Linked DNA regions of Elephas maximus indicus. The protein of the gene in region 1 interacts with the protein of each later gene in a pairwise test. Links are inferred from orthologs where the notes say so. Each region holds a gene or a part of one and is shown on either strand. Other genes may lie near its edges.

Evidence for each region.
Region 2: the proteins of POC5 (region 1) and CETN1 interact in binary tests that used the Homo sapiens proteins (3 or more experiments, as listed by UniProt). The link is inferred for Elephas maximus indicus from reciprocal best matches to the Homo sapiens genes POC5 and CETN1.

What each region holds. Positions count from the first base shown.
Region 1 is NC_064820.1:80,286,963-80,295,507, forward strand, and holds the start of POC5 (centrosomal protein POC5), read right to left. Parts: upstream 3,699-8,545; 5' UTR 3,595-3,698; exon of another isoform or gene 3,350-3,594; intron 1,875-3,349; 5' UTR 1,600-1,874; intron 1-1,599. UniProt on the Homo sapiens protein: Essential for the assembly of the distal half of centrioles, required for centriole elongation. Acts as a negative regulator of centriole elongation.
Region 2 is NC_064829.1:26,009,111-26,015,824, forward strand, and holds CETN1 (centrin-1), read right to left. Parts: upstream 1,737-6,714; coding exon 1,218-1,736; downstream 1-1,217. UniProt on the Homo sapiens protein: Plays a fundamental role in microtubule-organizing center structure and function. Plays a role in sperm cilia formation.

The DNA.
Region 1 (8,545 bases):
TAGCACTCTATCCTTTGCAACTGGTGAGATAAGAGGAAAAAAATCAGCACATTTATAAATAACAACTGAATTAGTATTCGTGTGTTTTTTCATCAGGGTGGTGGTGTTGTTGCTGCTGCTATTAGTTCAAATGTAGAGTCAGCTTTGAAAAAATAATTTCTTAATTTCATAAACTTACCTTTTGGGAATATTATTTTAAGAGCTTCTTAGATTCAAATACACGTATAGAAAAATTGTTGAAGGCCCTAACTCAAAAATAAAGATAATGAAAGTACTTTTAGTAACAGGTAAACAAATTATTCAGGAGACAAATAGTGACTGTTCAAAATATCTGAACACCAGTTATGTATAAGATATCGGTGAGGAATATAAGATGAAGAAAGTTTTTGTCCTCAAGGACTTTACAATTTGTAATGACGCCCAGGTATATACATAATATAAATAACTGATTGATGAAAAAAAGTGCTGTTAGACCTTAAAACAGCAAAGGTAGAAAGTAGGAAAGTAGGAGTAGTCATTTCCTGAGGTGAGGCTTTAGGTGTGTGAAGAAGGGGAAAGAGCCAGAAAAAGTTTTTTAGAGAAGACAAATGACCCAGGAGTTGAAACCCAAATGATGAGCAGATCTCAGCCTGAAACATAAATTGTTTTAAACCAGTGATAACAGGATTTGCTGTTGTTGTTTTTAGTGCCATCAAGTCGATTTCGACTCAGGGAGAGCCCATGCGTTACCGAGTAGAACTAATCCACAGGGTTTCCTTGCCTATATTCTTTGCCTATATTCGTAAACAAAAGCAGACCACCAACCTTTCTGTTAGCAGTTGAGTGCAAACTGTGCCACCTCTTGCAGCGTACTGTCAGGTTGATTCTGATTCATAGTGACTCTATGACAAATAAGAATTGCCTCACAGGGTATCCTAGACTGTAATCTTTGCAGGAAGGAACACTGGTGGCACAATGGTCAAGCCCTCGGCTGTTAACTGAAAGGTGAATGGTTTGAACCCACCAGCAGCTCTGTGGGAGAAAAGACCTCATGATATGCTCTCATAAAGATTACAGCCTAGAAGAGCCTAAAGGGAAGTTCTACTCTGTCCTACAAGGTCACTATGAGTTGGAATCAACACGACAACACACAACAATAATCTTTACAGGAGCAGATTGCAGGGTCTTTTCTCCCATGGAGCCACTGGTGGGTTTGAACTGCCGACCTTTAAGTTACTAGCTGAGTGCTTAATCACTGAGCCACCAGGGCTCCTTCTAGGAAGTTTGATAACATGATTAGGCTTGGCTTTTAGAAGGATCTATCTGGCAGTTTTGAGGATAGACTAGAGAGGTGGGGTACTGAAGAGAGATATATTGGGAGCCTACTGCAGTAGTCTATGATATCAGTGTTCCCTCCAGCAGTAATCCAGGAGATAAATAAGGACCTGAATCTAAGAGGCAGCAATGGGAAAGGGACGGAGGGTTCAACTATGAGTCAGATGTGTTACGGCAGTGGAAATAAAAGATCATGATCAATAACTGGTTAAGGGGTTATAAGGAGGAACTGTTGATGGTTTTCTGACTTCTGGCTTGGGTGACATAGATGATAGCACTACTCACCAAGGCAGGGAATGTAGGAAGATAGGCATGTTGAGAGGAAGGGCAATGACTTCAATATCAGATATGCTGGGTATGAGGTGCTTCTGAGGCAGAGGTGAAGCTGTAGGTATGCAGTGTATGGCCACGCTGGCTATGCACTGTACAACTCCAAGGACTATCATTCACAATGGCTAAAATGCCAATGGTGCTTCCTGGAGTTATGCAGTGTAGACGTCCTGTACTGAAGGTGTAGATTAGCCATATAATTTGAGGAATTATCAACATAATGAGGGCTGCTAAAACAAAAGGAGTGTGAGAAAGAATTCTTAACCTGAGGTTCTTACACCCAAATTACCCACAGTATTTTTAGTATAAATACACATATCCATCTCTCTAGGAAGAGGATCCTTACCTTTCAATATGTGTTCACAGGGAACTATAACCCTAATTTATTAAGGACCACTACTTTGAAAAGAGGGTTAAACCCAGAACCACTAACATTTAAAGGAGAAGAGAAGAGCCAGCAAAGAGACTGAGAAAGAAGTCATAACAGGAGAAGTAGGAGAGCACAATCACAATTTCAAGAAGGCAGTATCAGAGTGAGATGGTGAAGATTGCAGAGTCCCTTGAATTTGGCAATCAAGAAGTTGCTGTGACACTTGCCCGAGCAATTTTAGTGGAAAATGGAACAGGTCTCAAGCACAGTGGGATGAAGGACGGAGAGATGAGGAAACTGAGGTAAAAAGGGCTAATACAGGAAGAGTGCAATATTGGAATGGAAACATAAACTGGAGCTAGATTGTGAAGACCTTAAAAGGTAATTTTATTTCATGAACATTACTTTGTATGTATTAACACATAATAAGGAAATGAAATCTCATGACTTTGTATGTATTAACACATAATAAGGAACTGAAATCTCAGCATGATTGTCTTTAGTTAAGCCAATTAGGAAGGATAAAATAAGCACATACATCTGCAACAAGGGAGGCCTGTTTCACTGATTTCATATCCACTACTGTGGTAACGTGGTTTATTTATATTTTCATTCGCTTCCTTTAGTATTTGTTTGCAGACTGGGTAGGTAATAGGAGTAGGGGTAGGCTGGTGCTGATAAAAAAAAAAAAAAAGAAGGGCTGAAGAGTATGATCAGACATCAAAAATGAGTTTCTGAACATAGATACTGCCGACACAAAACTACTACTGGACTTTTGGAAAATATGCTCTAAGTATTCCATTCATCTTGCTTTGATACAAAGAAGGTACACAGTTTATTGAAAACCCTACATTTTCCTTACTGTTTCTAGATTCAAAGGAGAAAAATGAAACTTGCTTTCATGGGTAGCAAAGGCACATTAGTTTACTAAATTTTCAGTATTCTTTAAACCAAGGTCTTGGAAACCAGAAGATAAAAAGTTTTGGGTGCTTCTCTATTGCCAGAGAAATCAAATTACATCTGGGTAATTATCTGGCTGGTAGGGAAAGAGGAGTTTGGGAATTCAAATGTAACCCCAAGAAGCAGAGGAAGAGTAAATTAACGTGCAAGCCGGCAGCAGGATGATGACCCCTGTGCCGGTTCCGGGTCCTAGCAGCAAGCAAGGGGAGGGGCACACCAGCCCCTCCCCACATCAAAGGAAAAAAGCAGTTGCAAGCAAGAAAACGGAGAAGTTTTCTTCAATCTCTTTTCCTATCCATTTTTGTTTTCATCAAATTCTCACTTAAAAATAATAAAGCTTTACGTATGATTCCCCCCCCCCCCGTTTTAAATTACCAGAACTTTGCGGCAACAGGACCGCTACACTTCGGGCAGGCCCTCACTCCTGCCCTTTTTGCCGATGCCTTGGAGTGGAAAAACCTCAGGCACTCCCAGAACAGCTAAATCGCCCGCGTCTCGGGAAGACGTCCCCAGCCCTTCCGTATGGCAGCCCGGCAGCGGAAACCCGGGCCAAGGAACTTGAACCTCCACTCCTATACCTTAGCCTGAAAGCGGGGCCCGCCCGGGGCGCCGCTACCCACCGTCACCGGCTCTGGACAGAATCCGAACGCCACCCTGCGTCTCCCCACCGCGTCGCCACTAAAACAGCGAGTACAGCTGCTACCCTAGAAGCAACCTGACAGTTTCAAACTGCAGAGACTAATTAAGAACAGCCCTGTGCATTGGCCCCGAGCTTCAGCAATCTGTTGTTTGATTGGTCCGAGTGTCGGGGGCGGGGCTTTGGACCCCTGCGTGAGACGACGGAATTTGGTGTCTTTAAAGAGAGACCCGCCCCCTGCTTCGGCCGGTCCTGAGGGGGCGTGGTCTTAAAGAGCCGCGACCAGCGCGAGGGAGAGTCAGTGCCGCGCGTGCTCAGTTGCGTTGTGCGGCTGCTCGCTGAGGCGCTTCGGAGATTAGAATTTGGTTATGGGCTGTCCTGCCGGGTTGAAGTCGGCTGAGGCAGTATGCTATTGGCTTTCAACAATGCCGGTATCTTAAACTTGTGATCCTCATACTTCAGTTTGTATAGAAATAATTTGCATTCATAGATTACCTGCAAAAGAATCACTTGAAGGTACTTTTTAAAAATACTGATTCCTGGCTCCTCTTCTGATTCTTCGGTCTTGGGTGGGGCCAGGGAATCTGGTTTGTTAACAAACATTGCCAGTGATTCTGATGTCCAGATCTGCGGGCCACATTTTAAGAAGTTGCTGGATTAGATTTTATTAATGACTTTAAACGCATCAGACTGCAAGGCAGGCCGTTCTGGCTAAATGAGTATCGACCTTACGATCAGATCATAATAAAGCCCTGGCTCTGTCATCTACTCACTATATGATCTTGGATAATTCTACCCACATAACAGGGTTCTAGGGAGTTGAAATGAGTAAATAAATCTAAAATGCCTATCAAATAGATATATCACACCTCTATCTTTCAATTTGAATAGGTAGCAGCCATGGCTAGAAAAACCTAAAGATAACCAAATGCTTTACCCCTAAGACCAGGAACAAGCCAATGAAGTCCTCTTTCACTACTCCTGTTCAACATAGAGAAGCCCAGGTGGTGCAGTGGTTAAGAGCTTGGCTACAAACTAAAAGGTAGGCAGTTCGAATCCACCAGCTGCTCACTGGAAACCCTATGGGGCAGTCCTACTCTTTTCTACGGGGTCATTATGGGTCAAAATTGACTCCATGGCAATGGGTCAATGGATATGGCTTGAGGAACATAAGGATCCAGGTGGCAAAGGGTTCAATCCTGGCTTACACCATGATGAGTTTTCAGGCTGTGTTACCTGGAGGATGATGTATTTCTTTTTCTATAGATAAAAACAAAACAAAACCATTTGCCATGTAGTTGATTCAGACTCATGGTGACCCCATGTGTGTCAGTAGAACTGTGCTCTACAGCGTTTTCAATGGCTGATTTTCTGAAGTAGATCATCAGGACATTCTTTCGAGGTGCCTCTGGGTGGACTCGAACCTCCAGCTTTCTAGTTAGCAGCTAAGTATGTTAACAGTTTGCAGCATCCAGTGAATGAAGTAAAAAGAGCACCAGCAGCTTCTTCAGCATAAACTATGCTTGCCCATCCCTTTTTCTCCCCATCCTTACTATAAAGGACAAAGTCCTGTTAATATATATAAATTCATAACTGGTACCATTAGCTTTTTTTTTTAGTTGAGTTGTCATGTGGTGACTCCACATGCTCTAATTGTTACCAATTCATTATTCCTGGGCCCTCCTGTCACTGTTTTGTTGTTAGGTGCCGTCACGTCAGTTCTGACTCACAGTGACCATATGTACAATAGAACAAAACACTGCCTGGTCCTGAGCCATCCTCACAATCCTTGTTATGCTTAAGCCCACCATTGCAGCCATTGTGTCAATCCATCTCCTTGCGGGTCTTCCTCTTTCTCACTGACCCTCTACTTTACCAGGCATGATGTCTTTCTCCAGGGACTGATACCTCCTGATAACATGCAGAAAGTATGTGAGACTAGTCTCACCATCCTTGATTGTAAGGAGCATTCTGGTTGTACTTCTTCCAAGACAGATTTGTTTGTTCTTCTGGCAGTGCCTGGTGTATTCAATATTCTTCGCCAGCACCACAATTCAAAGGCATCAATTCTTCTTTGGTCTTCGTTATTCACCGTCCAGCTTTTGCATGCATGTGAGGCAACTGAAAACACCATGGTTGGAATTCCGGCCAACATGGCACCATAGACAGAAGCACCACGCTGTCCTTCCACAGCAAAGACCTGAAAAACTAAGTAAAACAGAGACAAACATCATTCCTGGAACTGGAAGTGCCAAACGAAGAGATAGAGAACTCAGCCAAGCACTGAATGGATTAAGAAACTGACAGAGGACCGAGAAGGGGAGAGATACGTGCAGAGGGTCCCATCAGCTAAGGCAGTAGAGATCCGCCATCTTGCCGCCAGTCAGGGATCGCAGACAGGGAGCATGGGAAAGCAGCTTTGGGGAACTCCCAGGAGGAGATGAAGCACCTGGTAACCAGGGATACACACTTTCCCACCCCTCATTCTCTCCCAGCTGGCTAGCTGCAGTGGCTTGGCAGGCTGGGAAGTGCAGAGTCCATGCTGCTTGGATTCGCCCCACCCACATCGTCATCCGCAGACAGGGAGTACGGGAAAGCAGCTTTAGGAAGGTCCCAGCAGGAGACAGAGCACCTGGTAATGAGCCACATACGGTTTCCTAAATCCCCCCTTTTTCCTCCCCCACTTCGGCCTCCTCTGCTTCCCGCCAGCTGCAGTCTCTTGGCTGGGAAGCAACTGCTTTGGCCTCAGGATGCTTGGATTCACCCTGCCCACACTGGCCGGGTCCATGAGTTGGGGTAGGTTCTTTCCCTCTCTTGGTTTCTTCTGTGCCTCCCCCTCCTTTCTCTGGAACACCTGGCTACGTGTACCATCTTTGCTTCTTCTTGAAAGGCTGTGAAGCCATGCTTAACTGGGGAACCACTCTTCTGGCCCAATGACACCATGCTGGTGGAATCCCTGGGGCTTCTTTTTCCTTGTTTTACTCTGTTTTGTTTGTTTTCGAACCTTGGGAGCCCCTTCTAGCTGGGCTGCACTGCATGGCTCAGGAGCCACTCCCCGATCTGCGCAGCCACCTAGGTGGGATCTCTGGGGGCATTTCTTTTTTTTCTTTCTTTTCTCTCTTTTTCCCTTTCTGTCTGTCTTCAGTCCTCAGTTCTCATCTCTCTACACTTACCTTCTTTTCCTGTCTCCTGAACACCTGGTGCTGTGTGACATCTATATTCCCTCTAGCCAGGCTATACTGTGCAGCCTGGGAGCCACTTCCCCGGTCTTAGCAGCCCCACTGGTGATACTCTGGGACTCTTGGGGCCTTTTTTTCTTTTTGAAATTTTTATCTAGTTATTTTTTTCTTTTTCCCTTTTTCTTTTTGCTTTTCTCCATTTCTTGGTTTCTCTTCTCTCCACTCTAACGGCAAGCTTCCTTAGCACTCTTTTTTTTCCCCCTTCTGTGTTTGCTTGTTTGTTTTTGGCTCCTGTTTTTCTTTCCTCTCTTTCCTCTTTCCCACACCCCTGAGCAGCACAGGCATGGCCTAGTGGAACCTGCTCAGCACTGATTTCTGGCCTGCCCTGTCAGCCCTAGTATGTGCCACAAAGAACCCATCCCAGCCCTCCTTTCAGCTGGACCTGCCTTGCTGCACCATAGCTGAATGACTGACCCTGCCCATTGTACAAGGAGGTGAAAAGTATCATGATTACAGATGAGCAAACAACAAAGAACACACAGCCCACCTGCTCAAACAAAACCAAATAAAGGAAAAAATCAGGGCAAAACAAGCAAATCTACAATCAAGAAATGAAGAGAATAACTACTGAATGTCCCAGAGACAGCAGACAATATCACAACATATAGAAAAACAGGACAGGATGCTGACAGGGAGTTCAGATCTCTAATATTCAGAGCAATCCAAGAGTTGAAGTAAAAAGCAGACAAAAATAAGGAAAAAAAAAAGACAAATTTTGGAAAAGGCAGATAAATTCATGGAAAATATAGACCAAAAAATGGAACAATTCAGGAAAGCAATACAGGAACAAAATGCCAAAATAAATTCACAACTAGAAATCATACAAAAACAATACTTAGAAATCCAAAAGATAAACAACAATATTTCAGAAATGGACAGCGTCATAGAGGGGCTGAGGAGTAGGTTTGAAATAGTGGAAGACAGAATTAGTGAAATTGAAGACAAATAATTGGATACAACTCTGTTTGAGGAAAAATCAGGAAAAAGAAGAAAAATGAAGAAACCCTGAGAATTATGTGGGATACAATCAAAAGCAAAAATTTGTGAGTGATTGGAGTTCCAAACAGGGAGAGAAAATGGAAAACACAAAGAGGATCATTAAAGAATTGCTGATAGAAAACTTCCCTAATATCATGAATGATGAAAAGCTGACCATCCAAGAAGCTCAATGAACCCCATATAGGATAGACTTCAAAAGAAAAACACCAAGACATATCATAATCATACTCGGTAAAACCAAAGACAAAGAAGAAATCCTGCAAGCAGCTTGAGAAAAACAAAAAGTGACATACACAGGAGAAACAATAAGACTAAGATCTGGTTATTCAGCAGAAGCCACGCAGGCAAGAGGACAATGGGATGACATATATAAAACCTTGAAAGAAAAAAATTGCCAACCAAGAATAGTATATTCTGCAAAACTTTAGTTCAAATATGATGGTGAAATTAGGACATTTCCAGATAAACAGAAATTAAGGGAATATGTAAAAACTAAACCAAACTTAAAAGAATTATTAAAGGGAGTCCTTCAGTATTAGAACAAACAACATCAGACCACAGCCTGAATCTAGGATGCAGGATTGTATCAGCCAGATACCAACGTAGGAAATGAACTCTCATGGACTATCCAAAACCAAAACAACTGCAATAGGGAACTAGAGAGGTTAATCTGTAAATGACAACAACATCAGAACA
Region 2 (6,714 bases), on another chromosome or scaffold:
CAAAATATCTTGCCTTTTTAACAGTTGCCTATTATCAAAACATTAGTCAAACCCTTCACTTCAGTAGATATAATCTCCCCATAATATTTTTTTCCTACCTTCAAATCTGTATATTAAAAAGATAAGTATTTTCTTTTTCCAAAAGAAAGGCTTAATTTATAACAGGAAACAAGTAATATTCACACACACACACAAGCCACAGTAGACTAGTCTATTGGGATTTATAAAATAGAGAATTACTCTATATATGTGTACTTGTAAGTATACTACTTATACACTCTGGTATCAACTATATACTTGAGGGGAAAAATCAAGTATCAAGTACGAAGATGTTTTAAGAATTCACAGATAGTGACTTGTGATAAAGTAGTAATAAAATATCTAAGGTTTTGTTAGCTTATCTTATAAGGACAAATAGCTTAAAACGTAGATTTTTTTTTTTTTTACAATTTTCTAAACTAAGTCCTTACATTTGCAAATATTTACTCAAAATCATTAGTTAGCTTCATCTCTCAAGCAAATTATATTTTGCTTGAGCCAGTGTTAAACTGTGCTTTTAATCTATAGTCCAGGTATTCATTCTGGCCCTCGATAATTCATAGTAGATAATATACACACAAACGACAAAAAAGCATTTCATGTGATGAAGCCAGAGAATAGACTAAGTTGTACAATTTGCCAAGCCTATACTTCATAACACTATCTTTCCTGAGCCCAGCAAGTACCTAAGTGAGCAACCGTTTTCCTTCCCAACAGAATTTAATTTAGTGAAAAGCAGTGCAAGGATGACCGCTGGCAGATTGTTTCATCTTGCTGGAACAATGACTTGAATTTAAGGAATGCTGAAGCAAGATAATGTGGGAACACCAAAGAAGTGACAAGGAAACCCACATTTCTGATTGTCCCAAGAAGCTGTTTCATATTGCTTTAATGGATGTCCACAAGTGAAAGGCAAAATGGCAGGTGGATAGAAGCTTCAGGGCCTTTATCCAATCTAATGTGCTCCAGCTCTGCTCTTGAGAATTAAAAACAAAAACTCAAATTAAAAACATCTTTAAAATTCTATAATGGAGCCAAAAATTTAGAAATAGAATTATCTAGACAAATTAGTGGGGATGGGGAGAGATACCCGCTGCCCTCTAAAACAAGTTTTCACAAAACAGAAGCGGGAAATCCAAGTCGTCACTGAACTTGGCGTTTGCCAGGGGAAGCTGGCTTTAATAAAGGTTGGTCTTCTTCATGATCCGAAGAAACTCTTCCTCGTTTACTTCACCGTCTCCATCCCGATCAGCTTCGTCAATCATTTCCTGCAGCTCCTCATCCGTGAGGTTTTCCCCCAATTCATTGGCCACACGCTTGAGGTTTTTGAAAGAGATTTTTCCGGTTTCATCATCATCAAAGAGCCTGAAAGCCTTCAGAATTTCTTCTTTGGTATCTTTCTCAGCCATCTTCTGGGTCATCACGGCCAAGAAGTCATTGAAGCTGATTTTCCCAGTGCCTTCCTTGTCCACGTCGGAGATCATTTTCTTCATCTCCTCCTTCCTGGGCTCAAAGCCCAGCGCTCTCATGGCCACCTTCAGCTCCTTCACGTCGATGGTCCCACTGCCGTCAGCATCGAAGAGATCAAATGCTTCCCGAACTTCTTGCTTCTGATCTTCAGTGAGTTCAGGCTTTGGGCCCACCTTTCTTCTCTGGCTGGCAGAGGCCACATGTGACTTCTTAAAGCTGGACGCCATCCTCTGCGGCGGCTGTTAGTTCAACGGCGTTAGCGCTGCTCGCTGGGGCCCCCCACCCGGTGCGCGGGCACAGCCTTGCACCTCATTCGTTCCCAACGGTCAGTCCTTCCACTGCGCTATCCCAGAGAGCCCTATCCCACTGAGCCTGTCACGTCTGCGCGATCCTATTTACCGTTAGCGTCCACGAGTTGATACCTGAGCTGGCAATAGCTGCCGATAGCCACAGTTGTCTTCCATAATTCATTGGTACTTGACTGTTCTTTTTTCCTAGACCATTTGTTAACATCCATTGAAACCAGTTTTGTCTATTTATTTGGAAGTCCTTCTTCTCTCCTTTCCCATACTTATTTTAAAACCCTTAGTCTGAGGTTAAGGGTAAATTTAGGATCCTGGAGACTGGGTTTGAATCACTTGACATTAGATGAGGGGAAGTAGTAGGAAAAATATTAAAGGTCACACCAAGCATCCAAGTTGACATAAACAGAAAAGCAGATAAAATGGAAACCGTTATCCATAAAAATAGTAGAAGTTTGTCGCCTGACATTACATTCAACGATAATAGAACTTCACAAGTTTATTTGGCTTGTCCTCAAATATGAGATGTAATATCTGAATGTGCAATTTACTTTCAGTGTTTCATTTATAAATACTCAGAATAGTTGCACTTGAATAATGGTCATAATTTTATTCGGTTTACTTTTAATTGGGAGTGGGGGAATACTATAGATTCTGGTACTCTGGTTTTTAAAAACCCTAGCACCATATTCCACCTTCTTCTGTCAGTTTGCCGTACTGTGATGGCTTGCATGTGGTTGTGATTCTGGAAGCTATGCCACTGATATTTCAAATACCTGCATGGTCACCCATGGTGGACAGGTTTCAGCAGAGCTTCCAGACCAAGACGGACTAAGAAGAAAAGCCTGATGACCTACTTCCAAAAATTAGCCAATGAAAACTTTATGGATCACAACAAAACATTGCCCAACTTTGGACATGTTATCAGGAGGGCTCCATCGGTGGAGGAAGACATCATGTCTGGTGAAGTAGAGGGCCAGTGAGGTCATGGGAGACCTTCAGTGAGATGGATTGGCATAGAAACCACAACAGTGGACTCAAACATGCTGGTGATTGTGGGGATGATGCGGGACTGGGCATTTCATTTTGTTGTGCCTAAGAGCTCTGTGAGTGGGCATCAACTCAATGGCAGCTATCTAGCCAGCAACATATTGCTCTCACTGATTGCCATCCAGTCAAGACTGTGCTGGAACCCACACCTTAGCAGTCCTCCTTTGGCAGTGGACACGGAAGGAGATAACTATGGGGCATGTTGGGACCCAAAATTGCCTCATGGGAACAAAGGAGTCCTCCTGTGAACCAAAGGGGCAACAGAAAAATAGCTTTTCAAGTGAAAAGAAGGAAAAAAGAAAAAAATCACTAAGTAAGCCCATAAGTGGATTACTTAGAATTGCTCCATACTTCTTTACCAAAAAAACTAAACCCAGTGCCGTCGAGTCAATTCCGACTCATAGCGACCCTATAGGACAGAGTAGAACGGCCCCATAGAGCTTCCAAGAAATGTCTGGCGGATTTGAAATGCCAACTCTTTGCTTAGCAGGTGTAGCACTTAACTAGTATGCCACCACGGTTTCCACCCATAATTCTTCATACAGCTAAAAAAGGAAAGGAAACCTTTTTTTTCTTTTAGCTTTCTTGAAAGAAAAAAAATATCACTATTCAACCAGTTACAACAGTGAGTGACTCACAATTAGAAGGGTTAATAAATATTTGTTGAATAAATGAATGACAATATAATGTTGGTCCTAAAACACACAAACATACCCAAAAGATTAAATAGTGCTAGTAGTGTTTTACGAATTCAATTTTTTTAAATTAGTGATCAGATATGGTATACACGGCATGTTTAATTAGCCAGATCTCATTACCTGCCCCTGAGGATATATGGCTTACTGGACAGAGTCCTGGGCAAAGGGTTTCAAAGGCCAAGGAAACTCATCTGGGATCTCCCCTCTCCCACTTTTCAGCTCTTGTCATAGACATCATCAGCTCAAAGTAGACTTTGGCAGGCAGACGCTATAGCTGCTCATACTTCGACAATGCAAATCCTCCTGCCTCCTCCCATATCCAAAACCAGACTTAATAAGTCACTGACTTATTAACTGTGACCTTGGGAAAGTCACTTAACCTCTGTGGTGAAATGAGTTCCTTTATGTGGCCTTTTGCCTTGGTTCTTTGGAAAAGCCTCTTGAGGGGTTTTTCCCCTAAGCCCTGAGGAGTTACCCAGAGGGTTTGTTGCTTTTGTCCAGGTTGATTGACAATTCCTGGGTGTCTTAGTCACCTGGTGCTGCTGTAAAAGAAATCCACAAGTGGATGGCTTTAACAAAGAGAAATTTATTGTCTCAGGGTTTAGGAAGCTAGAAGTCCAAATTCAGGGAGCCAGCTCCAGGGGAAGGTTTTCTCTCTATGTCAACTCTGGGGCAAGGTCCTTGTCATCAGTCTTCTCCTGGGTTAGGGGTTTCTTAGGCGCAGGAACTCTGGGTCCAAAGAATGCTCTCACTCTTGACTCTTCTTTCTTAGTGATAGGAGTTCCCTCTGTGTCTCTGCTTGTTTCTCTCTTTCATATCTCGAAAGAGACTGACTCAATATACAACCTAATCTTGTAGATTGAGTCCTGCCTCATTAACATAACTGCCTCTAATCCTGCTTCATTAACATCATACCGGTAGGATTTTCAATATACAGGAAAATCACATCAGATGACAAAATGGTGGACAATGATACAATACTGGGAATCATGGCCTAGCCAAGTTAATAGATATTTTGGGGGAACACATAACACTGAGTAAGCTATAAACAACTTGGTTTTGATACTTTTTGTCTGGTTCTGTGCTGCAGCTGGCCCTGTAATTAGTATGTACCTTGCAGGATTGGTCAGTAGGCTATACCACGAGGTGACTATCACCTACTATGCAAATGACATATCTGTCCCCCTGCTGGGAGGGACCATTATTTGAAATTGACAGGGAGTTGTGTATATAAGCAGCCAACCACACAGAGATTTTAGAAACAGGAAGCAGGAAGAAGCAGAAAGGAGAAAGATGAGAGAAGAAGCAAAGAGAGAAGAGACAAGGAATCTTCTAAAAAAGCTGTAACTTTGGTCAAAGGCGGTAACATTGAAGGCCACAAGAGGCCCAGAAGGCGCCCAGAGGTTGAGATGGAGACCAGCCTGCAAGGGGCCCTGGCAGCAGAGCTAACAGCAGGGAGGCCGAAGGCAGAGAGGTCTGTCCTGAGAATGGCCTGTCCTGAGGGGCCTGACCAGGGCCTGTCCTGAGTGGAGTGAGAGGGGCCTGTCCAGAGGGGGCTGAGAGGGGCCTGTCCTGATGGGGCTGAGAGGAGGCCTGCACAGACAAGAGGAGCTGAGAGAGCTGTCCTGCACAGAAGAAGGAAGATTTTATCTACATACTTCCTAATCCTGGTCCTGAGTTGTAGCCTATTGATCCTGATCCCAAATTGTACCCTGTTACTTCCTTAATATGCCACTTAACTATAAGTATGGTCTGTGAGTTCTGTGTGGCCATTGCTGTGAGAAGTATGGTTGGTGTCAGAATTGGTAAAAGTTCAAAGAGTGGAAGTATCTCTGACCTCTACCCCATAGGGATCACTTTAAGGCTGTTGCTGGTCATTAGCCCCCCAGAAGTTAGACAGGTTCTGATGCTAATCCAGCCACTACCACCATTTTACAACCTCCCAGACTCAATTCAAGCATCTGCAAAGTAGGCATAATAATAAATCTTCCTAGTAGAGCTCCTGTGCAGTTTCAATGAGCTAATGCATATGAAAGCTCCAGAGGCAGTTCCCTAGTGGGGCCATAGAAGGCTGGATCATTGTTAACTGAATCTCAATTCCTCCCTGACATTGTGCATTTCCTTTGCCACCCAATCCTTTGCCCAAATTCAAGCCAAGCTATGATGAGTTGGGAAAAACTGAAGGATAGAAGCTGCCTTACATAGAGCTGCATTTGGGCCAAGTTGAGCTCAAAGCAAAACAGTTGTCATAGTTTCCAGATGTGTGCAATCAACAGTCACAACAAAGGGCCACCAAGACCTCCCTGAGTAGACCACAGTGCCCATGGACAGAGTCAGCTTTGCCTGGGGAGTTATTTAGTGTTCATAATCCGAGATCTGACTTTGAAAGGAAAGGGAAACTTAAAAGCGATTGATGGTGTGCCTAGCATTGGGCTTGGTCCTCACATTTGCCATCTCATTTAAATCTTTGCAATCATTTCTCATTTTGCAGATGAGGCACAGGAATGTATCCAAAGGTACACAGCCACTGAAGGGTGGTGCTGGGACTTAAACATTGGCCTATCTGAGTCCAGTGCTGAGGCTTTGTCCACTATACCATGCTGCCACCTCCAAAAGCCAAGGTTATTACCAAAATGTCGTGTCATTGGTAATATATGGCATCTGATTTTCTTCTCTAAACCTAACAATAACGAAGCATCTCACCTAGAAAGGTTTAACACAATTTGTAGGATCTTGGGCAGGGTCCCATTTTGGGACCAGCCACCAAGAGACGAAAGAACAAAGTGCTTGGAATTTACATTTGTTGTTCTTCAACTCTGCTTCACTCCACCCCCTGCTCTCAACTCTGTGTACAAGTTAATGGAAGGCAGTCTGGGCAAAGTGCCTTTGGTTGGCGTTAGTGAGCATGGATCTAATGCATGTGAAAATCAGCTTGGTTACTTTAAAGTCACTTTTAAAGATCTAATTAGGCTAACATCAAGTAAATGAGATGTGCTGGAAAACCATTGGCTATGAGCGTTTTTTTTTTTTGCCTTTAAAAATTCTTGTACCATGATGTCCTAGGTAATATGCAAAATCGGCTGTTGATTATCTGAGAGGAGATGGTTGTTTAAGTCTGGTCCTGGAAACTTAACAGCTGGAAGGGGGGAGGTGCT